2 linked regions of the Rhinolophus ferrumequinum genome follow. The protein of the gene in region 1 binds, or shares a complex with, the protein of each later gene. Links are inferred from orthologs where the notes say so. Each region holds a gene or a part of one and is shown in the gene's direction. Other genes may lie near its edges.

What was found.
Region 2: the proteins of ATP6V1A (region 1) and ATP6V1D are in contact, whole or in part, in a cryo-EM structure (PDB 9B8P), measured with the Rattus norvegicus proteins. The link is inferred for Rhinolophus ferrumequinum from reciprocal best matches to the Homo sapiens genes ATP6V1A and ATP6V1D. Residues at the interface, in NP_001101788.1 of Rattus norvegicus: Ala366, Met368, Pro369, Ala370, Asp371, Ser372, Asp416, Ser418, Asp436, Lys438, Glu491, Gln494, Leu495, Val496; in NP_955418.1 of Rattus norvegicus: Lys4, Asp5, Arg6, Arg167, Ala171, Val175, Ile176, Arg179, Tyr186, Glu190, Arg194, Glu197, Tyr200, Arg201, Lys204, Ile205, Lys208.

Annotation. Positions count from the first base shown.
Region 1 is NC_046285.1:40,259,358-40,275,872, forward strand, and holds the start of ATP6V1A (V-type proton ATPase catalytic subunit A), read left to right. Parts: upstream 1-7,878; 5' UTR 7,879-8,146; intron 8,147-9,755; exon of another isoform or gene 9,756-9,795; intron 9,796-16,515. Other genes in the region: NAA50 (N-alpha-acetyltransferase 50), read right to left, coding at 6,967-6,974. UniProt on the Homo sapiens protein: Catalytic subunit of the V1 complex of vacuolar(H+)-ATPase (V-ATPase), a multisubunit enzyme composed of a peripheral complex (V1) that hydrolyzes ATP and a membrane integral complex (V0) that translocates protons.
Region 2 is NC_046289.1:29,305,424-29,321,785, forward strand, and holds the start of ATP6V1D (V-type proton ATPase subunit D), read left to right. Parts: upstream 1-9,932; 5' UTR 9,933-10,092; coding exon 10,093-10,133; intron 10,134-14,894; coding exon 14,895-15,012; intron 15,013-16,245; coding exon 16,246-16,325; intron 16,326-16,362. Other genes in the region: EIF2S1 (eukaryotic translation initiation factor 2 subunit 1), read right to left, coding at 1,219-1,298, 4,642-4,882. UniProt on the Homo sapiens protein: Subunit of the V1 complex of vacuolar(H+)-ATPase (V-ATPase), a multisubunit enzyme composed of a peripheral complex (V1) that hydrolyzes ATP and a membrane integral complex (V0) that translocates protons.

The DNA of each region.
Region 1 (16,515 bases):
CATATCATTCCAAAATCTACAGGCTAATGAAGAGGAGTAAGGCTAGAGCCAGGGAAAGCCATCACAATGCAGTCAGAATAATCTTTCTAAAACACAAATCTGATCACTGTATTTCTCTGCTTAAAATTTTTCAATAGCTACACATAACCTACCAAGTCAAATTCAAATAGTACTATATATAAAGCCCTTTACTGGCTGTGGCCACTGACCTAGCCTTCCCTCCCTTCCCGATCTTTTTGCCATATAAAACTACTCAAAAATCCAAGAACCCACCAAAGTCTCTTCCTTCTTGGCTCACCTCTGTATCTGTTTTTTCATTAGTAGACTATATATTTTCTATTCCTATTGATATATTAGACAATGTATGGCTATCTTAGTGCCACTGTGACGATTAAATGAGATCTATTGCCTGGCAGCATAGTAGGCACTTAACAGTAGACAACACAAATTAGGCAGCTATAAACAAAACTAAAAGTGCCATGAGGGGCAGGATGGGAGATCCAGTCTCAAAAGGCTGACACAAGAGCAAAATGAAGAAAGCAGCTTAAAGAGAACAATTCAAGTATGATTCCAAAGTTCTGTTTCTTGGTATCATAGAAAGTGAGAGCTGACAGAGACCAGGGATGGCAAAGCTGTGACACACATCACAGCAGTCACGAAACTATCAACAGATTAAATACTGGTAAGATACCATCAACAGATTACAACTACCACACGATTTAGAATATTTGGTTGTTCTTGTTTAGGTTCAAGCTATCCTTTTTAAAGAAACTTTTAAGAAACTTTAAAGAAACTATCCTTTTTAAAGAAACTAAGGCCCAGGTCAAGAAACTGGTTAGTGACCCTACTGCTAACTATCATTAGTGACACACTGAACTATAAAATATAAAACGTGGTTGCTTTTAGGCCATTGCTTTTTGCATTATGGTATGTCTCCTTTACGAAGATAAATGCTACAAATAATAAACTGTACAGACTAGAGGGGTGAAATCCAAATACATCTTTAAATATACCTTAGTAATCTGGAAAGAGAAATGAGAAATATTTAAAATGCCCCTAAATACAAAATTATTTTCCTAGCTTACCGGAGTTTAAGAAGTTCCACCTGTAAAAAATTTTCTTTCTAATAATTTGAGTCCTAAACTGGCATCATTCTGACAATATTTACTAATTTTAATGTCTCAACCCATTTTCTAAAGAACATTATCTTTGTTTTTTAATTTCAAGTAAAAAAGCAATCAATATCCAAATTAAAAACTGGTTAAGTTATACGCAACAGGTTAGTCACAAAGATTTAAAAATAAAATAAAATAAAATAAAAAACACAAAACATGGCCACTGCACATAGGAAACGTCCAAGTTAAAAAAAAAAAAGGAAATACCATTTATTACCTAATCAGTAAAGTAAAACTTTGAGTTAAAGCTATATGCGAATATGTACTCAAAACCAATTTGTAAAGAAACTATTAGTGACTTGTCATTTTACAAATGCTCAATGTATGCCACTCATCCCAGACAAAGGTAATTTATACCACTGAAGCTGAGATGGCAGCCACAATGTCTTCCTCCATTTCCTTAAGGTTTTTACAAGTGCCACTCCCCTTCTCCATCAGCTCTTGGAGAAGAGGGCACTCATACACTGCTGGCAGCATAAATTGCTACTATCTTTCTGGAGTCAACTTGGCAACCAATACCAGAGCTTTATAAATGCCAGTATTTTCTGATCCAAAAACATTCACTTCTAGGGAAATATCCAAAAGAAATAATTAAGGATATATGTCAAGTTGTTTTACAAATACGCATTCACTTCAGCACTATCGAGGACTGAGAGTGGAGAAGCCTCTGGACTTGGAAAACAAGGTGTTTTTTTTTCCTTAAGAACAGCTTCAGCAATGAGAGGCAGAATATAGGTTGCACTAGATCAGGAAAAGCAAATACATACTTCCAATTATCCCTTCCCCATCCATGGCAGACAAGAGTCACAATATTTTTATTTAAAACCAGTAACCTACACAGTGTTATATATCAATTGTATCTCAATAAAGCTGGAAAAAAATTATTTCCCCAAGCAATTACATTACTTTAGCTTTAAATCCTGTAAATAACTATAAAATAACTATAGTAAGCAGAACTTTTCAACAATATCCAAAGAAAATGTGATTATAAAGATACATACTTTATTTCCTGCTATTATTTGGATCTAAGCTGCATACACTGTATCAATAAGATTCACTCTAAGACTCTCCAAAACAAATCATCCTATTCTACTGTTGTTCCATCTCTAACCAATCATTATTCTTTTAATCAGCTTTCTTTGTAACACTGATACTGAACAATACTCAAGTATAAAAGCAACTCAAGCCAAACTAAACTAACTAAATAAATAAGAGTAGCCTCAGAATCCTTTACCACAGAGGTATAAACAGCCAGCCACACACTATCTTTTGGACCACAGTAGAAACATTTAGAAACATTTACATCTAGGAACTAGATCCTAAAGGAAGAGATCATGTTTCACACAAAATTTTTTTTCAGGGTCTAGCACAGCACTGTCCAATAGAAATATAATTTGAGCCACATATGTAATTTCTAATTTTCTAGTATCCACATCAACAAACCAAAAAGACACAGGTGAAATTTTCACGTATAATCAAAAAAAAAATTAATGACTATTTCACTTTTCCTTAAATCTTTCTTCATACCAAGTCTTAAAATCTAGTGGTTATCACATTTACAGCACATCTGAATTCAAATGCTAATTTTCATTGGAAATATTTGATCTGTATTTACATTTCATAAAATTTACAGTAGGTCCACATATCCAAGTTGTTCCAAACATACTTAAAAACCGTCCAACAACTAACTTTAGTATCAGTTTTTAAAATTCAGTTCCTCAGTAACACAAGCCACATTTCAACTGCTCAACTGTAACTAGTCACTACTGTACTGGACAGGACTAACATTTATATGTTAGGCACTGAATGAATGCAAATAGGAGATGATGGAAGAGAACAGGTCAAGCAGTGTTCCATGATGGCACAATTACATAATTTTGTGGTTATTAAAACTACAATCCACACAATTCTTATTTCTATGATGAAAAGGAAGTTTCCATTGATTACTACTAATGTTCTAATGGTTTCTGCAGACTGTGCTTAAAAAAGAAAAAAAGGACAACCATTTAAATAATTGAGACAGTGTATCTTTTCAGATGACACAAAGCTGGAAACCATAGCTAATAATCTAGAAGAGAAAATAAGGAGGAGTCAAAGGATTTCCAAAAGGCCAAAATAGAGGATGTAGCAAAGTGAAATTTAATAGATATTAGTTTGGTCTGGCAAAAGCACTGGCTTTGAAAGATAATGCTTTATATGGATGGCCGTTAAAAATATTTTTCCAACCCAGAAATTTTTGAACTTTACCAACAGTTGTCCACAATTTGGTGAAGAAATCACAACACTGATGTCAACACAGCATTAGTCACCAATGTACATATCTATACTGTTAGCAGATACTTTTTAAATTATACAATGATTCCATTTACAGACAAATGCAAACATCTGATCTTCTTATGATTTATGGTATAGTTGTACCTGATCATTGCTACTGAAACAGATATAGTTTAGTTTCCTTTTATTTTTCCTTTATGAGTTAGGACATTATATTGATTTTTAATAAAATTTATGATACAGATAGGTTATATTTTATATGGATTCATCTCAACATAACAAGGGGACATTACAAAACATTTGTTAAAATCCAGTATCTCAATCAACATCCCACAAATTATTGGCTTCACAGGAGCAAGTATGAATTGCAGCTTTACAAAAGTTCCTGAATTCTACTTCAGCCTTGCTGGCTTTGTTTTTTGTTTTTTCCTGACAAAACCAGCAACAAAACCTTTTTAAAAAATCCTGTTTTATTGCAGTGTAAGACACATATGATAAAGAGCACAAATCTTGTTTACAGCTCACTGATTTTTTTACATCTGTGTACAGCTATGTAATCAACACCCAAGTAAAGACAAAGAATATTCACATCACTTCAAAAACAGCCTTGTGTCCCTTCCCAGGCCATAAGCTACCAGAGGGAACCATTACTCTGACTTCAACAGAGATTCGTTTCTGACTGAAGGATCTTATATTTTAATATTTCAATTAGTAAACTACACTGTTCTACATGCTACATATATATTTTTGCTGCCTACTTTCCCATCTTTATTTTGTACACATCTGTTCAGATCTTGTTTGCCATTTTTTGTTAGGTCTAATTTTTACTATACCTCTTTACTATAAACAAAGGGTAAATGGATTCAGTTTTACTTTCTATTATATTAACTAATTACATTGCCATCTCAGTCACAGCTGTGTATGGCACACCTTCTTGCTTGAACATCATCTTCCCTAAAGAGAAACAATAGATAAAAATATTCAGCTTACCTAATCCACATATTCAACCTACAATGTTCCTGGTTCATAAAAACAAGCAACCTCAGTACAAAGGAAGTAACATACCTCAAATTTCTAAACCATGCATTTAAATGTATGCAACAATGAAATGCCCTACTGCTAATAATAAAAACTAAGTAAAAATATGAAGAAAAACCAGGTAAAAGAGTGACTCTAAAAAGCTTCAAAAGGATAGGCGATATAGGCAAGGATGTAAAATATTTAAATAGTACTCTGATTTAGAGTTGGGAGTTCTGCATTTGTTACCGATTTCAGATATTTCTATTCCACTTATAGTTCGGTTAACTTAATACACAACACTTAAGCAAATAAAATTTCATACACAAACCCTATAATCAGGGCCACTGTTTCATTTTCACAGACCTTTCCAAATCAAGTCAGGACTGTAACACTAACCACATTGTTCATAGTGATACAAGTCTTTGAACTTGAGGACCTTAAAATCTTTTAAATAATGTGTATTGTCTTCTTTTGCCCAGTGTCTTAAATACAAGACTTAGAAGTGGGGGAAAAAAAATTAAATCCCATCTTACCTGGGAATTAGTTCATCTGTGAAGTTAAAAGGGATTATTCCTGTGAAATCATCTTAAAAATTTACCGTTAAGAACGTAATTTTAAACTCCCAATATTAGAAAGTGATAGAACTAGACTTAAGGATTCTTCACTTCAGGCATAGTTGATGGCATAGATTCAATAACGACAAATTTCCTCTAAATATGGCCAGTTCCTCTAATTTGACTCATTTCTGGGGATGTGCCTCCATCAACTTGCTACACATAAATAACCATTTTAAATAAAAAGATAATTACCTCACGAGTATATTAACTGAAGGTAGATGTGAATAATACCACCAGTTTGACCTCATTTCTAATGCCAAGTTAGGAATCAAAAAGAACATTATACCCTAGTGAGACTGAGCTAAACCAAAGATTTTGGATCTAAACATACAGAATAATTTCTTGGAGGCTCTGCTCTCCTCTATAAATCCATGCAGTCCCAACACTGGGAACTCTTCAGCTTCATTTTTATTACTTTAACGGAACAAGACAATTTAGTACTGAATGCCCGAGAGAATACATAAATTAATGAGACAGCACCCATACTCAAGAAAACAATTTTGCTAAATTATAGTTGATCATATATAAAATAGCCAAGCTTCCTAGTAAGTCATGATTAAAGGGCAGCAAATTATTCTCATACCCCTCAGTTGGTATCCTGATTGGAACTCTTTTAGAACTTGATGCGAAATAATGCAGGCATTGTGAAAATTTCTTCATGATTTCGAAACATTAATTACAAGACATACGATTTAATATTAAAATGAATTCCCAATACTTAAGGCAAAATCAAAGAAATCATGTTACAGAGCTAAGGCCAAATTATACTGTTGGACCTCTTCTGCGACCTCAAACACATAAACACACCGAGATAATATTTAGACCCGTGTTTTAGGCACTATGAGATTACTTTGAGGCCTGACTTTTATTTCATCCTCAAAAGGGTTGCTGAATACTTTGAAAGGCTTCATTAACTCAAAACATAGTTACAATTCTTTAACTGACTTGCTATAATAGAAAAAAACTCAGGCATCTCAGAAAGCTTTTAGCATTGATAAGATTCCTTTTCTTCCTGTAAGGAGAGAAAAGGCGAGCTCCCAAACGACCAATTTAGGCAATATTTTAAAACACGTGTTATGTAATTAATATTTTAACAGTATGTAATTTAATAGGAAGGTGATATCTTATCCAAGTGGAAACAGCGGACCAAAATAATCCCTAATTTATCCAAGAGGGAAACTGTGCACGAAGACTAACTGTGCCAATCACCTAAAGAAAGCTTCGTAGTAACTAAGGACCCCCTCACAACACCGGGGCAACACTAAACTACCGGAGCAAGAGCTCCACCTACTGATCAACAAGACTTCCTTAAACATTTTGGCACCCCAAGTCTACAGTGCTCACGCTCTCTCCCCCTCCTCCACTCGCTCTGACCCAACCCAAATCCAGTTGAGTCACTAGCTGTTAATACTCATCTCCTTGCTCTTTATTCCAATTCCTTCTCCCTCCAGAAGATTCTGCACGGCTCTCAAGTGTGAATAAAACTGAAAGGTGACAAAACACCAAGGTTCCCAGTGTGGCGCCTACTAGATCTGAAGAGGACAACCAGACCACTAGACTTGGAGTGGCGGGCCGGGGGTGCCTCAGCACTCCGTTCCCGGGCCGGAGACCCCGGGAGCCTCACACAAGCTTTTCCCTGCTGCCCCACTCAGCTGCTTGTCTCCACTCCACACACACTCGTCCTCTTGGCCGAAATCCTGGGTTCTCCGGGTCCTGCCTCTGTTGGACCTTCAGCCCGCCAACTGCCCGAGCCGAGCCTCCGCCCCCTCGGGAAGCAGAGAAGCCCAGAAATCTCCCTCCGCCGGGTCTTCTCCCACTCTCTCCCCTCCTTCGCAACCCCTCTCCCCCGCCGGCCGTGCCTGCTGGCTGCCCTTCCTCACCCTTTCATCTTCCCTGCCTGCTGAGGCCGTTGTTACCACCGATATCAACGCCGTAGTCGTCGCCGCCCTGAGCTCTCAGCGCCCCGAGCTCGGGCCACTCAACCCCTCCACACGCCGGCCTCCCCGCCTAAGGTAGGGAGCTGAGCGGGTGACGGAGGCCGCGAGAGTGGAGAGCGGCCCTGCGTCTCCGGAGGGGGCGGGAGTGTGTCCCGCCCGCCGCACTGATGCCGCCGCTTCTCCACACGTGCACACCCGGCACTCGGCTCCCGCCCGCCGCCGCCGCCGCTGCCGCCAGCCAGACCCGCCGCCGCGCTGTGACCTTTCACCCCGCCCCCTCTGCGCGCCGGCGCGCCGGCCGCCTCCGCGCAGCCGCATTGCTGGCCTCCGCGCACCCTTCCCCCTCCGCTTCAGTACCTCCATCTTTTTCCTGGGCTGTGCCGTCTGGCGTCATCTTCCTCCTCCCATCCCTTACGACACTATTTGTGGGGCTGGCCCGATAGGCCCTGGCGGTAAAATCTGGATTTTTCCACCCCTCCCTTACTTCTCCCACGTCAGTCTCTTCCGACCGTGTTCTTCCCGGTTGGTAGTCTCCCTAATGACCTTCAAATGCTGCTGTCTCCTAGTAAGATCTTATAAAGTTGGGTGTTCTAAAAGTAAAATGTCTGTGGAAAACTCAAGTAAATGAGGTGTTTTTAAGACAAATAAACGTAATTAACAATTGGCTGGGTAATTTGGCTTCCGTCCAACACGTTTCAACTTTTGAGATCACATGATAGCCCCAAACCTTCAAGCCTGGGATTTTAGCGGCGGGCGCCAGAGGGTCGGAACTTCATCGCCATTTCCGGTCCCTGGAGCATGGTGTTAACGTCACTTCCTTAGCAATGCATTTTTTTTTTTTTAACCCGTTCCACTCACGTTTTCTACGTTGCACTTTACACCATAATCTTTGTGAGAGTTTTTTTTTTTTCTTAAAATTTAATCGCACTAAACTAATGTTCAAACAATACGGAAAAATGATCTTCAATATGTAGCGCGCCGGGCAGGCCACGGCAGGGCGGAGCTCAGGATCACGTGACTGCCCAGGCCCGCCCCGCCACTGCAGCTGAAGACTTCCCCTCCCTCAGTGACAGAGCCTGTGGGTCCGTGATCTGTACAGTTTCTGCACCTCGCGCACTGGCAGGTGAGCGGCGACGGGTAACTGGCGGCTGGTGGAAGAGAGGGGTGGGAGGAGGAAGATAGGGAAGGTGTGAACGGCGGCCTCCGCTTATCCGGCCTTCCTCCCCGCTGTCATGTTGCATCGGCTAGGAGCTCAGTTCTCCAGACCCCCCGCTCCAACCACTGTTTTAACCCCCGCAACTTGGGGTTGAGATGTCCACTTTTCTCAGGGTTGGGATTGGGTGTGGCCATTTGGTTCCCTATTCGGAGTCTTTGGGGTTTCGGGTGGTGGGATTGGTTCAGCCATTCCTCGGGGTCTGCAATAGCCTCCAGGACCCAATCCCCAAAGCCCATTCTTTGGCAGAGGCCCTGGTCTTTACCTTCAGGTTGGGGCTGGGGAGCGGGAAGGTAAGAAAAACCCTGGAGGCACGGGCGTCTCCCGTGAGACTGGCTTGGGAGAGAATGACACTGATGTCGCTCTCCCTGCGGAGTCACTGTAAAGCCTGCTTCCAAACGTGCTTTCTCAGTAATTCTGACTTTTTATCTCATATCTTTGAGAGAGGCGTTCCATAGCTGTTCACACGCTTTGGGTGGGACTGGAAAGGTGAAAGCAGGCCTTTTCTTTGATTTTGTGGTGCAGTAATGGAGAGGATAGTTGAAAGGATAAAGATGTACTAGCTTTAAAACTGGAGGTGTTAATACGACAGTCTCGATTGAATGGGGAGGCGTTTAAAGATGGTGTTGCGGTGCCGTGATGTGCAAGAGACCCAAACTAGCTTATGGAAAAGTGACTAGCTTTCACTGAAAGGGAACTAATTCTTCAGAAACGAATTGGGCTCATACGCGTATGATTAAACCAAATGTGTTTGACCATATACTTAAAGGAAAAGGAGGTTAAGTCGAGATATTGCTGACTTCATATTTTATGCCTTTGACATCTTTTGCCATTTTCCCTTAAAGTCCCACTTAATTGCTACTCCCAGTCAATTCCTTGACCATTGGTAAATTTAAGTAGTGCTTGTGTCCCTCCTTAGCTTTCCCCATTTGTAAAACTTCAGGTGACGTCTTCAAGTTTTGATGAATAGTATTTTGTGAAAATACAGAAATTATTTTGCTCAGGTTTTTGCCCAACCCATTGCACTTCTTTCCATTTGGTTTGCAATGTAACCAATGTTTTGACCCCAAACAATGTGCTTTACGGAAGAGTGTTTTTCAGTTTGGTGTTTAAACTCTTTTATTTATACTGCAAACTTAGAAAGTCCCTTGGTTCTTTTGAATTGAAAGGTCTGGCAGAAATTACAAATTTGATTTTAAAATATAATTTTTTACTCTGAAAAGTCATATTCTCAGTTAAACCTTGTAGTTTTCTAACCAGTGTAGTTGAAGAATTCATTAAAAAGACAGCTGAAAAATGAGAAAGATGGAATCATCTTTGAGTGGTGGATGTGACTTATTTCTGTTTTTCTGTATCTTCCAACTTCTCTACAATAAACTGGTCTTATTTTGTTAAGGGGAACAAAAAGTTAAATTCTAGAGTAATAGCAATTTAACAAGATTTCCCCTCCTGCAGTGACATTCCACCAAATTAGATAAATTGCTTAAGTGTCTTATAGGTTCAAACCAGTCTTGTCTGGGTGAGACCAAAATGGGAAAGAGAAAACCAGCTGAAAAGCAGTGAGTACTTTGGGGGGGTGGGGGAGAGGTGTCAGTATGAAAGAGGTTGAATGACTCCGCAGTTTTACTTAACAATTCCCCCAATTTTCGGGAACTTATGAAAGCTGTAACTTAGACCACTAATGAAATCTGGAAGATTAGCAGCAGTAATTGGTGACTAAATTGCTATTAAAGTTAAATATGAAAAAAGGTTTGACATTATATACAATTTACACACGCATGCACACACACAAATAATTTGAAGCTTCGAAGCCATTTTTTAGACTAGCTTCATTAGTTTATGACTATTCCATGTAGAAATGTTAACACTCATTAGGGAGTTGTGCTGTAGTCCAATATTAAACGGTATACAAGGGTTTTTGTGTTAGGGTCCCCGGTATCTCTTGTGTGCTTACTCTGAGGTCTTATATTTTACTGCCTGTATAGATTATCACCACCTCCAAGAGTGCTTTCTTTCCCTATGTGCAGAAAGCCACTCAGTCCATTAGACTACTACACAATATTTTCTGTTCCTCTTTCCACTTTTAGGACATTGTATTTAATTACTCTTTTCTGGGCTGTTCCTTAGTAAACCCTAAAGCTCCTAGGAGTTAAAGGACAGTGTCTTTACTGTTGTCTTCAGCACCAGGATGCTAAAGTACCTGATAGGTACTCAGTAAATTGTTTATTGAATGAGTGTTTGACAGTTGGAGCAGGAGGTTAAACTACTTTTAAAGCTCTTGAAGATCACAGCTTCTCCTATGGTTTTGCACAAAGTATTAGCTTTCTAATATAAATGGATAATAATAACCATCCAAATCATGGTCCATAGAATAGATATAAACCTCAGATGGACTTTATTAATGCGGTGACCAACTTATTTTCATAACGTGTTTACATATATGTTTACAACATATCTGGATGATATTGAAAGGAAGGGGAGTGACTTGTACTTAATGAAAAAATGGCTCTGTACAGGCACCAAGTGATATAGCTAGCACTAGACTGAAAGTCAAAGGACCATCATTCAGCTCTGCCACTTTAGTTACATGCTCTTTTAAGTTGGGGTGGGAGCTTTGGGTTTTATTCTTTAGAACCTTCCTTTTAAGGGTATTGTGAATTCAAGTAAGGTTAAACTATAGATAACCTAATTTAAAAGCTAAGTGGTATTTAAATGTAAAGCAATGTAGTACAGATTTGACCAGAATAGATTTCCCAATCATAGACCTGGGTTCAAGTTCTGGCCCTACCACTTAAGCTTTCTGACCTTGGACAGTTTACTTAATCTAAGGTTAAATTTCCTCATGTTTAAATCTATCCCCTAAGTACTATTAGATTAGATCATGAATGCAGAAGACTTAGTACATACTTTGTAAAGGAGACTTAGGGAGACTTAAGACATCCTATAAAATTGAGTTAACAGGGTTAGGGCATGAAGAAAGGAGTAGAATTTGAAATGAGGCTATTACAAAAAAATAGAGGAGCAAGAAAAGTGTACCTTAGCAAAGATTCTAAAACATTTATATTAGGAGCTGATAAATACCAGTATAAAGCCCATTATTTTGGCAACTGCAGTGACAATATTTTCTATAAAAAGATTTTCCAAAGCTTAGGATCATTAGTATGTAGAATCAATATAAGGAGGTAGTTGTGCTATTTCTAAATTATTATCCCTACAATGGATTATAGAAATATATTAAAATTGTACAAACCTGTAGAACAGGAACTATTGAGTTTACGCTTATGTTTAAAATTTTTGCCTTTTAATTAAATTTTTTTTTGTTTTGAATTTGGTATATGGACTGTTTATTAAGTAATAATAAACCAGTTTTAAATTTCTTGAGTGTGATAGTGGTACACTATATTTATTGTTAAATATAAACAATAAAACATTTAAAATATGAATCTCCTAAATTTCTTTATACATGCAATCTAGATGTAGCGATGTGGCCTTTTAAACCACACTATTCTTGAGTGTATAGTGTATTATAGTGTACTACTATAATAAAAAAATAAATACTTTTATTAATTATTAAATTAATATTAAATTATTAAAATTTAATAATTTATTAACTTATTGTGAATTTAATAAATTTCACAAGTGCAGTTAGTCAGATTTTGTTCTTAGGTGATACATACTTTTTTTTAAATGTTTTTATATCTTATTTTCATATGAAGTAGACATAGGAATGTAGAGAACAAATGCAGACATAGCAAAAACTATTCTAGTTTATTTTATTAAACTAGAATAAAATTTTTCCCTTCTAGAGTGAGATGAATCACAGGATTAGTGGTTTTGTATTGGAAAATATCAGTAAATTAAACAGTAATTGAAGTATAGCTATCATGAGTTTATGTTTCACCTTAATCCTGAAAAAAATTATTACTCATTTGTTCTAACAAAAGATTTTATTAAGAGATTATTGAATATGCTCTTTAATATCAAGGTCTCTATTATAGTGAAATAAATTGTGGTCAAAGTTTTCTATTTAATTTCTTTCTGTAGAAACTTTAAGTTTTACTATTCTCTTTTTTTAATATTGTGACTTTGGTTCATATAAATATTATTTTACATATAGTATATATTATGTACATAGTAAACATAACATATATAATATAGATGGATAAAGTGTGTGTATTTATAAAGACAGCTGAAATAGATGTATATTTTCATGGTCATAAATCTTTATTTTTACCAGAAACTATTAAACTAGTCTTTAAAATTAGTTACTGTGAATAAATTTACCTAATGATTATTTGGGACTCCCCTTTATATTTGTTCATACTTAGCTCTATTTAATAAATTTCACAAGTGCAGTTAGTCAGTTTTTACAAATTGATGGTATTTCATAGGTGTTTTCAGAATTAACCTATGATTTTTTTTGCTATTTTTTTGGTATCAATATTATGACTAGCTTACTACAAGAACATTTTCACTTTTAATCTTAATACTACCTGTAGAAACGATTGTTCTTTCAGTGATAAACCTTTTAAAAAATTATACCTACAGCATCCCGTGTTTGGTTTCTTTTCTGAAAAATAAGTAAGCTTATTTCATTGAAAATACAATGGGTAATACATGATAAGATGCAGAAGAGCTCCAGATGTGCTTGAGCAATGAAAAACAACCAGACTTTGTTTTAGATATTTCTTAGTTTAATTTTGTAAAGTGTTTACTTAAAAGAAAAATGGAGAAGACTAAATTAGAAAATACTTACAAAATTGAGGAAAGGGCATGATAAAGAACTATATATGGTAGTGATTGTATGTACAATCACTATTTCAAATATTTTCAAATATTTGAAAAGATGGAAGGAAATTAATAAAAAAGTAATTATCTCAAGATTAGGAGATTAAAGAAAGATTTAAAATTTATAATTATAACGTGTATATTTGATTTTTCTACAGTTAATAGTCATTCCTTTGGGCAACAAAATTTTTCTAATTTGTTGTGGAGCATTAGGACATTTGCATAATGATTTCTTCTTAATTACTTGGATATCTTAGGTGAAAATGTTTTGACTTATCCAGGTAACTGAACAAGTTTTTTAATTTTATAGGTACGATATATTTTTAGGCTTATGTAAGTGCAGCAGAATTTTAAAAAGCAGAAGTAAATTCAAGCATGTAAAGGAATTGAATTCATGACAGTGATATTTTAATTCAATGGGAAATAAAGGTACATATATATATATATATATATATATATATAGTAAACTGACACAACTTGTCTGCTAGAAGAAAATAAAATTGAGTCAGTACTTTCTATAGCATATGCAGAAACCAATTTCAGATGATGAAAAGCTTAAATATAAACAATAAAACATTTAAAATATGAATCTCCTAAATTTCTTTATACATGCAATCTAGATGTAGCGATGTGGCCTTTTAAACCAAGATGGGAAATCTAAAAGTCATAAAAGTAAATATGTGAGACTACATAGAAATGAAGAATTTTTCAATGGCAAAAATAAAAGACAAAATGTAGATTGAAAAAATTGTTTGAAATATGTATAACAAATAACAAGTTAACATTTGTAAAGAACTATTACTGAGAAGAAAAAGTCCGCACGATCGAAACATGGATAAAACATATGACCAGAACTTCACAGAAGAGAAATCCAGACAACAAACTTATGAAAAGATATGTAATCTCACTAGTGGTCAATGTAATAATAATAAAATATTCTTTTTTGACTTGGAAAAATTAAGTGATAAACCTGCTAGCAGTGATGTGCAGTAAAAGATTTCCTCATTAGATGCTAGTGGGGATGTAAATAATTACAGCATTTTTAGAAAACAATCAAACGGTATCTGTTAGTATTGAAAATCCATATTCTTCCATCCAGCAATCCCCCTTTATGGAATCTTTTCCCTAGAAATAAAAGTACCTGTTAGTAAAGGATTTTTACATGAATGTTGTTCCAGCAGTATTTGTAGTAGCAAAAATCTAAAAACGAAGGGATTGCCTGTCAACTTGAGTGTTGATATATAAATTATAGCATAGGCATATTATGGAATGTTTTTTAGATCAATTAAAAGTAGGAGTTAAAATCCATACCGGTGAGTTGAAAGGATTTCCAAATATATCCTAAAATGTTTTCCATTGTGTATCTTAAATGAGAAAGGCAAAGTTTAGAAAAATGTATATAACGAGATCTCATTTTTGTAAAACAGTTAAATATCGTGAGTTTTGTATATGCCTTTTTTGATTGTCCACATTGGAAGGAGAAAATGAAAGAAAGAAAAAGGGCAGGGTATTTGCAGTAACATATGCATGTAAAACTACATGTTTGTGCATGTCTGTACAAAATGAATTGCAGGGAAGAATACTCACCAAAATGTTTACTAGTTATCTCAGAGTAGTTGGATGGGTATGTGGGTGACTTTTTTACTTTTCTTCCTTACACTTTTCTATATTATATTACATGTCCTTATTTTTACAATTAACAGGTAGTGATTCTGTAATTAGAAAAAAATCTGATAGGACAAAGAAGGAATTAACTAAAGGAAAAATACCATTTGAAATGGCCAGGAATGGTAATTGTCTGAATTTTTTTGTCTTAATTACTTAGGTATCTGAGGGGAAAGTGGATTAATTTTCCTGATAACTCCATAAATTCTCCTTAATTTTGTATATGTGATAAATCTTGTGCACCCAATGAGAATTTTTCATTAAAAAATGTACACGAAATGATAGACATTACAGGAAGGGTTACAAATATACATTTAATTTTTAGTGTGGACGTTAAGTCCTCCAGGATTGCTTTTGCTTTGGCAATATAGAACATATTACACAAGTTTGGGGTCTGACACCTGACTTAATCATATGACAAACGGTATAAGGAAAAATTCACATTTAGGTTTTGGTGAACAAAATACTAGATGCAAGATCAACTCTCCTTAAGAAAGCTTCAAATAAGAATGTAAAGAAGCAAGATTAAAAGTTGATTATTATTTAATACTTGACTTTGGTCCTTTTAAGAGTCCGAAGGTAATACATCATTCAAAGCCATAATAGAAAACGACAGATGCTTTAGAGCTGGATTCGTTGCATGTTTCAAGCATCTGTATTTGTTTCTCGTGTTGTTAATTTTTGTTTTCCCTTTTCATTACCAATTTAATTAACTTAATTGTATATATGTTCTTCATAGTAAACTGTACAAACTCTTTCTGAAAAGAGTTGGGATACATGTGAATAAAATAATTTTAGAGTCGTATTGAGCGACAGTACAACAAGGAGGTTAAGGGTGTAAGTGCTGGAATCAACCCCTCTGGATCAAATCCTCGCTCTGCCACTTCCTAGCAGTTTGACTTTGGTGAAGTTACTTCCTTCTGTATTGCATTTTTCTTAGCTTTAAAATTAGGATAATAAGCATATGTATTTACTTCATTAAGCATTGTGAGTATTAAGTGAATAATATAAGAAAAATGATTAGAATAATTGGCACATAATAAGAGCTATATAAATATTTGCCATTAATATTTCATTACTATACTCTTTGTATAGTAAGTATACCCATATACCTAGGTATATATCATAGTTTTATTGCTTGGCTTGTTTCAACACTCATTGAATCACTCGACAATATTTTTAATTGAGTTGAATGGATAATGTACAAGTGCAATAAAAATTATATATTCATACGTGTGTGTTTTCTCCGTCTCTCTCCATCTTTTCCCCCCATGTATTTGTTCACGAAGGTAGCACTTTGTCATGTTATTCTGGACCTCACATTTTCTACTTACCAATGTTATCCTGCAGATCTTTCCACATTGATGCAGTTAAAACTGCCTCTTCTGTGTAATAACAGTCTAGTATTCAAGTGTACTAATGTACCGTCATCATCATATGTAACATTTATTGAGAGTTTATTCCTGATTCAGGCACTTTTCTTAATACTTTAGTTGTATTAACTCATGGAAGCCTCACAACCTTCGGAGATAGGAACTATTTTTATTCCAATTTAACAAATGAGGCATGGGTGGTTAAATGCCCAACAGTCACACAGCTCATAAGTAGTAATAGGACTTGGGATTTGAACCCAGGGAGTCTCAGAGAATTGCAATCTTAATATTACCAAGTATACAGCCTCTCACACTATCACAAGTTATTTTACTAGCCTCCATATTTATTAATGGACATTCCAGTCTTTTGCTGTAAGAAACAGTGCTATAATGAATATTTGTTAATAGGACATTCTGTACACATAAAGTAAATTCCTAAAAATGGAAGAGCTG
Region 2 (16,362 bases), on another chromosome or scaffold:
AGAGTATAAGGAAGGAGGTTTTCGTGTTAATTACAGAATTGTGAGGCAAAGGAAACAAGAGGTTAGTTTTAGATGAAACTGAGCGAGGAGAGGTACTAACATAGTACCTGTTCATTCTATCATCTTATCATCCTGATAAAATTTACTAACATATTTATTTTACAATATCCTCAGGTGATAAAACAAAATGGATGTTTTCCTAGAGCAGTGCTTCTCAAACTTGGATTCTCAAACTTGGTGGGATCCAAGCCCCTGCATTTCTCATGAACAGTCCGATGATGCCAATCTGTTGGCTCAGAGACTATATTCTGAGCGGCACGGTCCTAGAGTTCACTACAAAGGGATTTCACCGAGAGTACTACTGAATGTGTAAACCACACTGCAGTGATAGTAAACACACCAGTTTTAAAACAAAGGGAAAGATTGGGTAATGATCTGATGGCTTTTAGATTTTTATTCTCTTTTACTAGATTAAGCAAGATTTTAAAAATCTTCTAAACATTGTTTTCTTGGCATTTTATCTTGAGGACAGAAACATGTGGCAGAAGAGAACAAAAGACACAAGAGAAGGGCAAAGAAAACAGAAACAATGGAAATAGTGCCATTAAGAACTGAGGAGCTAGGGAATGAAGGACAATAAATAGGACCAGAGAATAGAAGAACACAGAGAGAAGATAAGATGAAGAATATAGAAATGAGAAGATGAAGAATATAGAAATGGCTGTTCTTGCTTTATTCATGCTGACTATGGAGAAGTAGAAAATTACAGCAAAAATAACAAAAAAGGAAGAAAAATAACCTGGATTCAAATACATTTTACAAACCTTTGTTCATTCTTACATACAACAGCTAGCTGTCTCTGTGACTCTTACCCAGAATAGGGACGAAACTCAAGAACTAAATGTATGACAAGCCAAATCAGCTGAAATCACACATAGTTAATTTATTCCTAAAAAAGCTTAAAAACACGAATGTCCAGTACTGTTTTGAGACTATTAGCTCATAAGCAACACCACGAAACTAAAACAGTATAGTCAAAATCATTTGAAATTAAGTCTTTTAAATTATTTTTCTATGTAACATGTAACTCAAAATGAAAATATACAGTTACAAAAAATGTAGGTTTTGTTTTTTGTTCTTTTGCCAGGAACATGGCATGCTGATTATTTATTAAGCACATCCAAATAGTGGATTGATCTGACTCAAAAATCAACTTACAGTTTTGGATTTGGTGAATTTATCTTCACATTTGATTGCTTCCTCTGGAGAAACTCTTCTTTTTGACAAATCAATATACCCTGTAAGAAAGTTTTGAAAAAGTGATCTTTGTTCAGGTGTCAGCATATCACTGCGACATATTTTCACAACCCGCTTGTTTGGTTGTCATCTTTGCACTTACTCCCCACTAAAATCGCACCAACAAAATAATGCATAAGATGAGAAAGTTTTTGTTTTCAGAAATGCATGTCTTTATTATCATGTAATTGTATACTCTCTATTACCTCAGTGGAGGGACCTAATAAAGACTCGATATTTGTCTATCTGGCATCCATTTATCATAGTGTCAATTGCATTAACTGTGTTTTCAGTATTCTTGATGCTATGACATTTGCAGCCTGGATGACTAGGTGGGGAGAGACTCCCCATCCTAGAGCTAGACAATTCTTAGAGACAGCTAAGGGCTCACCTGCGACAGCCTTTCATATGCAAACTAAAAAACCCAGAGCCCACACCCCCAACTATCTCATCAAAGTCTCACACACCAAACCAATATTCCCCCTACCCTAAATCAGCCAAGGCCAGGTACCAGACAACCAGAATAGCCTGATGCCCCAATGCCTGAACAAACTATTCAAACTAGCCAACCCTAAACTGTTTACCCTGACCTGCCTTGCCTTTTCTGTGGACATCTCAATACACGCTCTGGCCTAGACTTTCCCACGGCTCCTTCCGCCTCCTGACCACATGTGGAGCTTCATGTGGCCCTGCATGGCACATGGTGTCCTTCTCTTAAGTGAGAAAAAAATCTTCTTTCAATGGCATTGGCCTCTCCATGTCATCAGTCACCTCCATAAATTACGATCCCACGGGTACAAAATGAGACAAACAGTTACGTGTATTTTAAAGAATTTAGGAGGAAAAAAGTGATCATTAAAATTTACCTACATATTTTCGATTTTAGGCATCACATCTCTTTGACCTGAACAACTTCCTCTCCCATTTCCTATAATGTAGGTCTATTTGATAATAAATCCTCTTAGTTTCTATTTACCTGAAGATGTCTCATTTTGATCTTTATTGTTGAAATATTTTCTTCAGTTACAGAATTCTGGTTTGACAGTTTTTTCTTTTAGTGCTTTAAAGGTGTCATTCAATGTGCTGACCTCCATTCCTTCCAATAAGAATGCCACTGTAATTTGTATTACTGCTCCCCTGTAAATAATGTGCAATCTTCCTTTGGCTACTTTCAAGATTTCTCTGTCTCTGTTTTTCAATAGTCTGATGTGCCTAGATGCGGTCTTATTAGTATTAATCCTGCTTGAGGTTAGCTGAGCTTTTCCAATTTGTAAATTTATGTTTTTTCCGCAAATAGGAGAAACTTTTGGCCATGATTTCTTCTGCTCTTTCTCTCCTTTTCTTTTGGAGCAGAGCTTTGATATTTGACAGGTTGCTTTTTTACTGTTCTTCAGATTGGTTCTTTTTAAATGAACTATCTTCAGGTTTCACTGAGACTTCTGTAATCTTTAATCTGTTAGCCCCACCCAGTGAATTTTTTAGATATTACATTTCTGATTTGTAGAATTTATATTTAGTGCTTTGTGCGAGTTTCTAATTTCTCTACTGAGATTTCATTTTGTTCGTTACAAGCAAAAATATGATTGTAATGATTAGGAAAATATCTAATATCCTTGAGCAGTTGTAGTATCTGCTTTAAAATCCTTATCTGCTAATTCCAACATAAGGGATACTCTAGGTCACTCTCCATTGATTGTCTTTTCTCTTCTGTATGGGTCATAATTTCTTGTTTCTTCAAATGTTTAGTAGTTGGATTGTATCCTGATCATTGTGAATTCCTTTATGTTTTTATTAAGGATACTTATTTTGTTTTAGCAGGCAGTTATTTGTCTGGTTTCAAAACTATAAGCTCTGTTTCAAGTGGAAAGCCACCAAGATCTATTTAGATTTTTACCCTGTTGGATTGCTTGCAGTCTACCCTCTCTGTATTAGTAGTTCAGGGGTCAGCCAGAGATTTGAGTAGATTTTATATATAAATTTAGGGTTTCTCCCTCTGTGTCTCTCCTTTCTCTAATCTCTATCACTTCTATGGCTGTCCAGAACTGTTCTCAAGTCATTAAGACTGTAGGTCTACCATTAGCTGCCCTGCTTGAAGCCACCTGCAACATTCATTCAGACAAAAAGCTGTAAAACTTAGCCAGTGAAATTCCTTTCTTCCTTTAGTTTCGGCCTGCTTTTGATTATGCCCATTGTCTTTAGGTAGTTTTAAAAATATTTGTTCAGGGTTTATAGCTGTTATTTTTAAAGGTTTTTCCAATAGGACCTAATCTTCTAGTATCAGACATGAATCCCCTCTATGGGATCTTCTGCACTTTGGTTTTTTTCTTATCTCAACCCCAATCATCTTTCCACAACAGAATATTCAGATCTTCTATATAAAACTGCATTGCATGGATGTGCCATGATTTATTTTACGATTTTGACTGTTGTTTCCTGTTTTTAATTAATACTGTACAAATAATGCAGCTATAGAAATTATTCTTATATGTATCTATTGTGTTTAAGCAAGTATTTTTTCTGATTACAGTTAAAAATATATTTGATTCCTTTTTGTTATATATTTTATATAATAGAAAAGAAATGCAAGATAAGACACCATTCTAGGTCCTTCTGGGGCAGTGATATGAAGACTTACTCAAATTTAAGGAACACAGTTGTCCCCCCCTTATCCGCAGGGTACATTCCAAGACTCCCGGGGGATGCCTGTAACTGTGGGTCATACTGAACCCTACAGAGAATATTTTTTTCCCTATCCATACATTCCATTTCACTTAAAGGAAGCACTTTATGGCTTCTCTTTGGTACATCCAAATGCCAGCATCACTACTTTGTACATTGGGGACATTATTAAGTAAAATAAGGGTTATCGGAACACAGGCACTGTAATATCTTAACAGTCAATCTGATAACTGAGATGATAACCAGGTGACTAATGGGCAGGCAGTATATAGTGTGGACACGCTGGACAAAGGGATGATTCATGTCCTGGGCAGGACAATGAGAGATTTCACCATGTTACCCAGACTGCCATGCAATTTAAAACTTATAAATTGTTTAATTACCATGGCCTGAAAATATTAAATGGAAAATTCCTCTGGAAATAAAATTCAAGTTATCTGACCAATAATAAAAACTAGTCCTGGGATGCACTAATTAAACCATTACTAAGAGATCTTGCTTAGATGGCTAATTGGCATCCTTCTCTAACAACTTTGTACGTAAAAGAGTTTAGGTATAAAAGGAGGAGTTTGTTTTTTTACGGCCGTAGGCAATTTACAAATAATATATTTTACTGTAAACCAATTTAAATCTGAAATTTGTATTTTAGATACTTTTCTCACTTACCTTTTTCTTTGTCCACTCTAATGACAACCACACATTCATTCCTGCCAATTCGGATGAGTTTGTTTATAGAACGAATACGCCTTCTGGACAACTCACTAAGAAGAATCATGCCTTCGATATTGTTGTATTCCAGAAGGCTGACATAAGCCCCCATTTCAGCAATGGACCTTACATTCACCATCACTACATCTTCCACCTCAGGAAATTTGTGTTGATAAAATCTACAACTTAGACCCGGCATTCTGAAATTTAAACAAAAGAATAAAGTAAGTGCTCAGTTAAAGTCAAAATAAAGAAATGTCCATTTTCTACATCTTGCCAGAAGGTGAGCAGTTGTTAGTCTTCTCACCTCTTTAAACTTCTTAAATGGTATCAGAAAACAGATAATGTTCAGGAACCAAGCTTTAATTTTTATTTTGCTCCACACTTTTGTAAGGCTTGGATGATTCTCTACCATCAGTTTCAGAGGAATCATAAAAAGTAATGACCATCTATAAAGTACAACTAACCTCTGAGACCTAAAGATTAAAGGTACACCTTAAGAGTAAAATACCATTTTAATACCACCACTTCAAGAAATAACAAATGATGGGAAGCATCACTACTATTATAAACCTATCAGAAAATTCTAAAGCTGTTCTTTCTCCAAATCAGCTAGGACTGTAATGCTACTACCCATTACATAAAGGGAAGAATCTTCTGATTACTTAAACCCTAACCATATATTAAAGGATACACCCTATAAGTAAGTATAGCCAAAATTACAGTATCATATGACAGGACAAAAACTAAAAGTTTATTAATCAGGAAAGGTATTAAATTTAACCAAAACGTATTCTCAGATTTTTTTCCCCCTCTTAAAACAAACTTGAATTTAATTCACAATTACCATAATTTCTAGTTTCTACTTTTCCCATTACTCCCAAATATTCTTTTCTTTTGTTGAATAAGTATACTAAATCTTGAGAATAGCTTTATAGATCTACATTACTATAAAGTTCAAGTTTCTCTTAACTGCCAAGTATATATATATTTAAAACTATTCCCTTTGATCCACCCAACCTACTTTCAGCACCACTCCTTTTATGATCCACAATCCTGAAATCATACCATAAGTAGAAATATATTTTTAAAGGGAAGCTCTCAAACTAATCATAGTTGATGATTTTCATGTTTTTCTGCTAACCGTAACCAGTTTACTGTTGTCAAAGCTCAGAAGACAGGCAATAGGATCTAAAGGCCTATGAAAAATTTGTGAAAAATCACTAACTTATTTTTTTCTTAATAATTGGGAAATAAAGATAAAACATCCACACCCAGTTCACAGAACCCTGGAATTCTGCTGCAGTGTGATTTGAGAACTGCTAACTGCATCCGTATGTAACTTCCCAGTGGCTTCTGATTTATACATCTTTTTATGACCTACAGGGTCTTATATGATCTGGCCACTGCCTGTCTCCCTGAGGTACCACTTTCTCCCTAGTTCTCCCCATTTTATATTTGAAGAAAATGAAGCACAGGTTAAGCAACTTGTTCTGTTATATACTGCTAAAAAGTGATAGTGTCAGAATTTGAACCTATGAAGAACCATAGTGTACTATTCATCAGGCTATATTTTCTCTCAATATTATAAATATATTACAATCAGAAAATCTTAAACAAAAAGCAACATTAACATACATATCCAATGCTGGAGCAATGAATACCACAGTTAGTGAAAACTTTCAGTACTAATCTATCCTGTTTAACCAAAAAATAAAATAAAATAAAATAAAATAAAGCAGCGTATTAGTAACAGTGACAGAGATGTATTTCTCTTGTAGCTTGACAAAATAGAAATTTAGCAAATAAAGGAAAGTAGACAATGGCCAGAATGACCCACCAAGAAACAGCTGAGCTGGTTGTTTCATTTTTAAACAGGGCTTTTTTTTAAAAAAAAAAGCTCGTCGAATATCTGTAAAGTACTAAAATTTGAGAGCTAAAAATGTTTTAAACTGAGTATCAAAATAAATGATGCCATGAAAATGTGTGAAATAGTTTTAAGAGCTTTAACATGTGTTAACCACATTTACTTATCAAGTTTCTTCAAATAGTAAAGCTGATGATTTTGGGGAAGGCAGGCTTAATTTGATGGTTAAAGAAAACAGACAATAGTGTAAAAGAACCCTGTAGGGAGCTATAAATGTTACAGCTTTAGGAAGTATAAGTCTCTTTGTAATATGTAGGGTAAATAAAGGAATACTGCTGATGTTATTTACAGTAAAGACAGAAAATAGCCGGTAAGTACAAAAAGAATACATTTCACAAACAACCTGCCTGTTGATTGATAGATTTTGAACATATCTCTTTATTTATGGTAATAATTACACTAACTTTTAAAAAATCAGTCAGGAAAATAGAAGCCACAAGCTAGGTATACATTGGCCATTTATATAACTTTCAAAGCACTTTGACTTATTTTATTTGGCTCTCAGTAAGTCCTCGTCAAGACTCAGTGAACTTTGGGAATAGCTATAGATGTGGGTACCAGTCCTGGCTCTGACTACGTAGCTGTGGTTGCTTGGGAAATGTATTCCCATTGAAGTGTAGTTTCTAGTCTGTGGCATGTACCTCACAGATTTGTGGAGAGCATCACATGAAACAAAAATGCATGTAAAAACAGTTAGAAAGTATAATGTGCTACACAAATATAAGAAATTAAAAGGCAAAGGAAGTATTATTTCCATTTGTTACTTGATTTGTTAAAAAATCATTTTTTAGTATCTACTATGCACTAAGCACTACTGATACAATTAAGACTACTACCTAAAAAATTTAAGTAAAGACTGGGAAACAAACTAATAAGCAAATAATTGCAATATAAGGTATTATGAAAGGAACACAGTGAAATGATCAATTAACTGGGAACCAAGGACCAGAATTAAGTGACTTCCTTAAGGACAAATCTTTAAGTATGAGAACAGGAACTAAAACCAAGTCTTCTGACATTAAATACAGAATATTTTTAACCCTCAGAGCCTCAATATGTCAGAGTACTACAATGCAGTATGTGTTCTTTGGTAAAGAACACCTATTTTTCAGAATACACTAACTGAACTCCAAGTTAATTTCAAATAACCTGCATTGTCAGTAATTTTGCCTTGTCAGATGGTAGGTAGGACTTCTTTCTTAAACCAGTGCATGGTCTGGGGTGGCTGGATGACTCAGTTGGTCAGAGCAGGAGCTCTGAAAAACAGGGTTGCGGGTTCAATTCCCTCATGGGATGGTGGGCTGCTCCCCCTGCAACCAAAGATTGAAAACCATGGCTGGACTTGGAGCTGAGCTGCACCCTCCACAATCAGATTGAAGGACAATGACTTGGAGCTGATGGGCCCTGGAGAAACACAGTTTCCCAATAGTCCCCAATTAAAAAAAAAAACAAAAAAAACAACCAGCAAAAAAACAACCAGCGCATGGTCAAGTCACCACAATGGATACAGGAAATCCACATCCCTTTCCAAAGTAAAGCATTATGTGATAGAAACAATTCTTGCAATAACTGTAATTAAGCTCTAACACTTAAGCTCTCTGCATCCTAGTTTTTAGTATAGGAGTGCTACACAACAAAGCTTTCAAACTATTTCACTGTAGTTGAAATAGGAAACACCAATATCTACAAACATTACTGTGCACCTTTTTGAGATGTTTTGAGAATTAGTAATTGTCATTTGGCATCAGATGAACTGAGAATTGGCAGTAAAGTTCTACTCATATAAGTAATTTCCACACCGTTGAAAGACAGAGTTACAACTTTTTTCCCTTAAATAACAACTTCAATCGGGAGAAAAAACAGACTTTTCTGTTACATCTTTTCTCCAAGAAACAATGTTTCCTGTTTAATCAACATTAAAGTAGCCTAAGTTTTGGGGGGGGGGTAACAAAAAAGACCTCAGGCTGAATATTAGTATTTAACCCCAAAATTCCCCCATCTTTTCAGTTTTGCATAACTGTAAGACCACACCATGTAATACTACAAGTCTGTTCTCACCGGTGCTGAAATACAGCAAACCGACGCGAAGCGTAATAAACTCTTTAAAAGTATGTTTTAGTTTCAATTCAAGGAGTGACTCATTCCACAGAAATGCCCAACTCGAGCGCTAAGGTAAAACGAACTTCAATTTTTAAAAATAAAGTATCGAATAAACTGCTCTTGGGCCCTTTGTGAGACAGCTTTTGTCAACACTGTGATCCATCCTACTGGTCCCTTGCAGTGTACGGTCTGGTTTCCACGGAGAGGTAGTATTTGCTGGAGCGCAAGAGGAAAAAACAAAAAACAAAACCAAAAAAACGATGGATGGAATTCTCAGGCCGGGAAGGAGCAGCGCTCGGCCCTGGTGCAGGAGTGTCACAGCGTTCTCCCGAGGCCGCCCCACCGCAAGGAGTCCTCAACTTTAAGCATATTGAAGAGGCTGTACAGTCACTTGGCCCATTTTCCTTCACGAGGTGCCTCCGCTCGTACAACGCCACCTGCAACTCGGGAAGACCGACACGGAGCCCGCCAGGGGTGTCGGTGGTGTCCAGACACTTCTCGCCCAGGGACGGGAGAGGTGTTAGCCCGGGGCCTACCCTCTCTCGACCACCCATGTCACTACACACAACCAAAGTGAGTTCTTCGAGAAACCGATCTAGGGGACTAGTTACCCGAGGTATGTCTGTGGATCCCGCAGTGGGGTCCCGCGCCGCGCTCTTTAATCCGAGAGATCAGACTTGATCCACCCGCAGCAGCCGCCGATCCTCCTCAGCGTGCGCTTCGCTCAACCCTACCGCGCATGCGGAACCACCTCGTCTCACGCAAGCGCCAACAGAATAGAGGCCCTCTTCGTCACTGACCATAGAGTCCGGGTCCTCCGGGAACAAGGAAGAAGGAAGATCCCAGGAGAACCTGAAAAGTACGTTTTTTTCGCTACCGTTAGTTGTCGGTAAGTAACCCTTCAAGGCGCAGGGAGAAGTAGAACTCTCATTCTTTGTTCCTGAAGAATAAATCCTCTCTCAAAGCTTCTGCCAACCATGAGGTGGCGCTGTGACCAAAAATGACAAGCGCAGGAAGAGAAAGAGTATACTCTTCTCTCTCGTTCTCTCGTCCCACGCGCAGAGCCTTGCGCAGCCGCCGGGGAGCTGGAGCGGGAGGGGCTAGGAAGCTGACCGGAATTGAGGTGCCGTTGGGTGGTGCGCGCGCCTGAACATCCGGGCATCGCCGGCTTTAGGCCTTTTTCCCTCCTCCCACGCCCACCCCCAAACCCACGTACCAACAGGAAGCGGAAGTGGCGGGTGCATATCCCAGCTGCCTCTTAGCAACGCGCGGGGTGTCAAGTGACACAGCCAGCTGACTCCGGTAAAGGAAGACGCTGTGGCTGGGTCTGTTGCAGCTACGATTGCCCGGCCGGGGACCCGAGCCACAGAGTCATCGTCAGAATGTCGGGCAAAGATCGAATTGAAATCTTTCCTTCGCGAATGTAAGTAAAAGAACGGGACGAGCATCCGTCATAGGCTCAGGAACGCCGGGTCCGAGCCGCGGTTCCTTCGTACCCGGGACCAGCAGCGAGGTTCCTGGTTTTCTGGGCGGATCCTGAGCTTCCCAGTCTCTCTTCGTGAGTTTAGGGCGAGGCTCTGTGACGGCCCCCTCACACATTCCTCTGAGTGAACCAGACTGGTCCCAGCCCATAGGAACAGACACCCGGCCTGCTGGCTTTTGTGGAGGTCCGCTGACTTTACTCTTCAATCGAGCCATTCATTCCACACTCCCTATTGAACCGGGCACTGGATGTATGTAACCGAATCGTCACCACTCGTGCCCTGACCAGAACTCAATTTAGCGGAGAGATGGATAAGCCAACGAGGTTTGATAAATGGATCGAGAAGGGAAGTTTTCTGCAGGGGGAAGTGTATAGAAGAGACTTCTAAGCCATATGGGGGTTGAATCGAAATGCTGTAGCGTAGACGTTAGATTCAATCGTGGATCCCCTTATTTTCCAAGATCTCATGAAATGTCACCTGCGGTGGGAAGATACCCCTCAGTTTCTCAGGCACTTCTTTTGCTCTCTTACCACCGTGCACCTTGTTCAGACCTCTGTTAATATCACCCATTAATCACTTTGTAAAAATGAATAGTATTTGTTTACATGCCTTTCCCCCTGGACTGTGAGGTTTCTGCAGGATCGGAGCGTCTTGATCATGATTCCATAGACTGTCCACAAAAAAAATGTTCCTTGAATGAACTCTTGTCTTGGAATCTGCTCCGACGTGGGCTGTCTTTCGTTTTTGGACTGAATTTTTTGGCAGGAGAAATAGCATGTCGCCCTAGGTGTTTGAAGAATATTTTGAGGTTTTCTCTAAAGAGAAAGTCTCTAAAGAATATTTTGAGGTTTTCTCAAATGTACCTAACAATGTGTGGAAAGAAAAGATTGTTCTTATTTGCCCCCTCCTCCTTTTTCCTCTTTTTTATTTCCCCCAGTGAAGAGCAGAAAATCAGTTTTGGCTCTGACATTTAGATCTTTTGATTGTGGTCCTATCTCTTTGGGAGTATTGTTGTTTTTCTTCATGCTGACCTTTTTCTCAGAGAATCTGAGGACTTTTAAAATGAAAGAAGTATATTCAAAGCCCAAACCTTAATTTCTGTCTCTGCCTACGTGGCTACAGCTATTAATTAAATGAAGGGGTTTGGGCTTTTGGTTTATTTTTTAACTTTACCTACTGACTTTCTAATAGCAGTTTGTAGTAGGTGGGAATCAAGGCAGTAGTGGAGAAAGGTAATGCCTGTAAAATAGATAAGGGTCAGGACTACCCTGGGGTAGTGAGAACTGCAGAATTTCCAGCCCTTAATGATTGAGTCCTGCCAGACCTCTGCACCAGAGACAGCCAAACTCCAGCGTTGCTTCTAGGAAGCTTAAGCTGTGTTCTTAGGATGACCCAGCCTCCAGTAATATGTCTGCCTGAGAAAGCTCAGCTGCTGTCAGAAGTTACTGTTCTAGCCAACACCTGACGATAGGCCCCTTTCTTAGGGCATTTACTGAAAAGGACTTACAATTATGAATTCTTCATTTTCCCTTTGAGATGTATATACCTCTCCTACAATTTAGAAGTGTCTTTCTCAAGGACCTGAAAACGATTTCTTTGAAATGTAGTCATCAGGAAGGATAGGGCCTTCATCTCCCATTCTCTGTGGGAGGAAGGAATCCTACCTTCCATAATGGCCAGCTAGTGGACACAGCTGGCCTAATCCCGTTTCCACTGACCAACCCTTCGTAATTTTTCACTTCTGACTCCCCTTGAGTGCCTTCTAGCTCCCCTCCCTCACTCTTCCTTTAACATGCCCAGTCTTCTCTGCACAAATTGGAATGGAGTGCAGTTCTTTTCCCCCTACTGTCAGTGGTTACTGAATAAAACCTGTTTTCAACGCTTTAACTAATATTTGGCTGTGTTTGTAGTCAGAATGTTAACAGTTTTTTGTTTTCACTTGGAGACTGAGAGGTGAAAATAAATTTATTTGGCCTTAGACAAGAAGAATGATAGGTTTGTGAAGGTGGAAATTGCTATTTGAGTGCACTCAGCTTGCTGTTTGAGAGGAAAATCAGGTGCAGGAAGTAACCCGCTTCTCTAAATATTTTCTGCTTCTCTAAATATTTTCCAGAGGCTTAGCAGCAGGTACTTTGTCATGCAGTCAGATGTCTTTGATTCAGCTGGAAACAAAGTTATTATCCTAGCTGAAGGTCAAACACTTTTCAGTAGGATTTAGCAGTTCTGAAACTTGTGAAAGAACAGATGTTTTAAGAGCTAGGCTAGAAAATACATTAGTGACTTCTGTTTCAGACAGTTCCAGTGTTATCCTGTGAAATGAGGCTGACACCTCCTTAGGCACCAGAGAGAGCAAAACAAGTTTAGGGGGGAATCAAATAGAGTCAACAGAAGTCAGTCAAATCCAGGTTATACTTACAAGGGCTGTAAGTATAGTATGTCAAGTTGTTTTTCTTCAAGTCTCAAGAATGAAAATTGACCTATTTCGCAGAGATGCCATTACCTAGGAGAAAATCAAAATTAGCATGTTAAATTCAATTTCATCAACCAGTTTGCCTTTTTACTATGAACTTGCTGGAATCTGCAGTACTAGGGTTAGACTTAAATTTGATTCGACTCCTTGAGCCCAAATTCTGGTGGTTAGTGTCAACAATACGGTGTGTTTAAATGTACACATTGGGGTGGCTAGCTCCTGCTTAGGCTGGAAACTGAACCAGCTTCACTTGGTCCAGTCAGTGCAGAGTCAGTCACTGACAGCTAGAGAGACAACTATTCATCTGATGGTATTTTTAATCTGTAGGGGAGGCAGTGTGGCATGTTGGGGTACAGTGGACTTAAGTTTGAGCCTTAGTATGAGCCTTGGGCAATCACTGGAGTCAAAAATCCGGTTCAAGTTCTGCTCTGCCTTTTCTTCACTAAGTAGCTGTGGCAAAGTTGTTTCACTTTTCTGAGCCTCATTTTCCTAACTTTCAGGATAATGTCTGAAGTCCTTTCCAGCTATAGAATTATCTCAGTAACCTTTGCCCAGTGGTAAAAGATTTCAATATAATCTAAGAATTTAGCCAAAAAGTCCATTAATATGTACTGTTTTGCAGTTGGTTGTAACACTAGTCGTATGAAATTAAATCTCTTTAAACAAATCACTTTAAGTATTTATGTTACACGATCTATTGTTGAATCTTATTACCCATTTTTCCCCCCCATTATTAAATTTTATCTGGCATATGGTAGCAAGAAGAGAAATGTCAATTTCTGCTGTTGCTTTCTCGACTTTGGTATTGGGGTTTCTGATGGGAAAGACTGAAATAAGGAGGTAAGGAGATATGAGTTTCTTGTCACTTCTCAGGAGTCATTACTTATATATGTCATTGACAAGTTACCTAAAGTCATTTGTTACCTAATTTGTTATATCAAGTCATTTGCAAATTAATAAAATGATTGGTAGTAGAGTCTTGACTGATATCAAAAATACTATAATGCCCTGCTCTTTAAAATAACATTTACATAATCCATGAAAAGTATTAAGTTATACTTGTTGAGGAATCATAAATAGTTGGACTATATAGAAAAACCCAAAAAACAAGTATAACTATTATTATGGCTCTCATTTCATTAGCAAACAGGTAAATACACTCAAACAGAACTGATTCTGAGTTCAGCATCTATCTGTAGGTACACAGGCCTTGTCAGTGACTTGGGACAGCTGTCTACCTCTGGTGTCGGTGGTTTCTCGTCCTTGAGGAGTCTGATTTCCGTAGACAGGAGTAAATGACTCTTCGCAGTCAGGTGCCTGATAAGGTCCCTTCCAGTGAGGTTGGAGAGTGTCTTATTAGATGTTCCTTCCAATAAAAAAAAATCTCCAGGTGTTTAATGCCACACTTTTAACAGAAAAAGTAGTAACTGGCTGTGGAATAAAATGCCAAAGGTACAAAACAATATAATAAAAAGCAAATCTATTTTTTCTCAGTCAGCCCCCTTTCTCAAAGGAAACTGTTAGCAGTTTCTGTGAATCCTTTCGAGAACAGGTCTCTGTATCTGTGTAAGCATATTTACCCCTTACTTTGCATAGCTAAGACAATAAATATAATAGAAAGAGCACATGGAGATCTGCCTTCCTCTTTTTTTATGGCTGCATATCCATTTTATAATGAACCATGATTTATGGAACTTTTAACATGTATCCACTCTTTAGCTATTACAAATAAGGCTGGAATACACCGTGTATTGTTTTTGTACACATGCAGGAGTAAATCTGTAGGATAAATTCCTCAAAGTGGAATTGTTGGTCCTGAAGGTAAGAACATTTCAAATTTTAATATATATTAGTGGACAGATTATTTTTTAAATCTTTAATATGCCTCTAATGGAAATACAGGTGTTGTTTTAACTTACACATCAAATAAGTAAACTATGCCGACATCATAAAATAGGGCTCATGATAGATTTTATTATAATTTAATAAATACTTATTCCATATATTGATTAAAAAATTGTTTCTGTTTTAAATAACCTTCTCATTTATGAAACACTGAGAGTGGAATTCCACGGTATTGAGAAATCAGTGAAGCCTGTCAGGTACAAAGGCTATATATATTCTTATTCTCGTGACATCAAAGAACAAAGCATAATTTTAACATTGTATTGGGCAGGTATTTTTATTTCTGTTAAACAAGGGGAGTAAATGCCTTTAACTGTTTATATAGGGCACAGACCATCATGAAGGCTCGATTAAAAGGAGCACAGACAGGTCGAAATCTCCTAAAGAAGAAATCTGATGCCTTAACTCTTCGATTTCGACAGATCCTAAAGAAGATCATAGAGGTAGAGTGAACTCTGCTTAGAACAGTATTTATTTTAGAAATATCTCAGGAAAATCCAACATGGCTTGTTGACATTTTAATTTTCCTTTAAGTTATTTTAATGAATTTTTTTTCTTTCAAAAGTAAAAATAACCATTATAAAGTACCAAGTTGCACATAGCTTAATACAATAAAATCCAAACTCCTTCCTCTTAATTTTTTTTTGTTGCCAATTTGTCGGGCTAAAATTGGTATCTTATTTTAATTTGCACTATTGATTTTTTGTGAGGTTGAGCATCTTGTTGTGCTTACGGGTAATTTGATTTTCTTGGTGAATTTACTTTTTTGTAGAAGTTCTATATATTTCAAGTTAGTATATAAAATGCTAAAAATATTGTCTCCAAGTCTTTTGCTTATCTTTTAACTTTAAAAAAAATGTTATCTTAATTTTTATTTGGTCAAATCTCTTCGTCTTTTATATAACTTTTGGGTTACATACAATGCTTAGAAAGGCCTAAAAAGATTAGGATCATGTTCTACTATATTTTCTTTTGTTACTTTATAGCTTTAAAAATAATTATCTTTAATACGTTCTGATTTTTTTTTTTTTGGTGTGATGTGAGGGGGTAGGGATTTAACTTTGTCATTTTGTAAGTAAATGGCCAGTTAAATGATTTCTATACATTACCAAATTCCCATACAGATCTGGGGCTGTTTCTGACCTCTCCATTCCATTTTATTGACTTATCTGACCAGATTTATTTCCTTATTGGAGCTGTACATTTTTAATACTTGGTAAGATAACTCTCTGCCCAACCTGTCCTAGTGTTTCTTTTCTTTCAAAAAATTAATGGATATTCTTACACATTAAATATTCCAGATTTATTTTAGAATCACTATGCTATTAGGATTTTGACTGCATTGCAGTGAGTGAATTAAGGACATTAATTTGAGCAAATCACCATGGGCCCATTCAGGAATAACAGTACCTGCAGTAAAGGTTCAGTTTTCTATTTCTTAGTGCCTTTATTTTGATGTTTTGATTATAAAACTCATGGTTTTGCAACATTGTTAGTAACCATAATCAAAACTGTTGAAATTTGGAAATTTTTATTGTGTTTTATCATTATCACAGTGATATTTACATGCACATCTGATATAAAATACTGATGGTTATTAAAGGAATACAATTATGACATGATGTTTTTCTTGTAAAAAACTTAGTTGAACTAGCTGTTGGTTTATGCTTTTACAGACTAAAATGTTAATGGGTGAAGTGATGAGAGAAGCTGCCTTTTCACTTGCTGAGGCCAAGTTCACAGCAGGGGACTTCAGGTAAGAAGACTAAATAGGATGTTTTAAAAAATCAAAG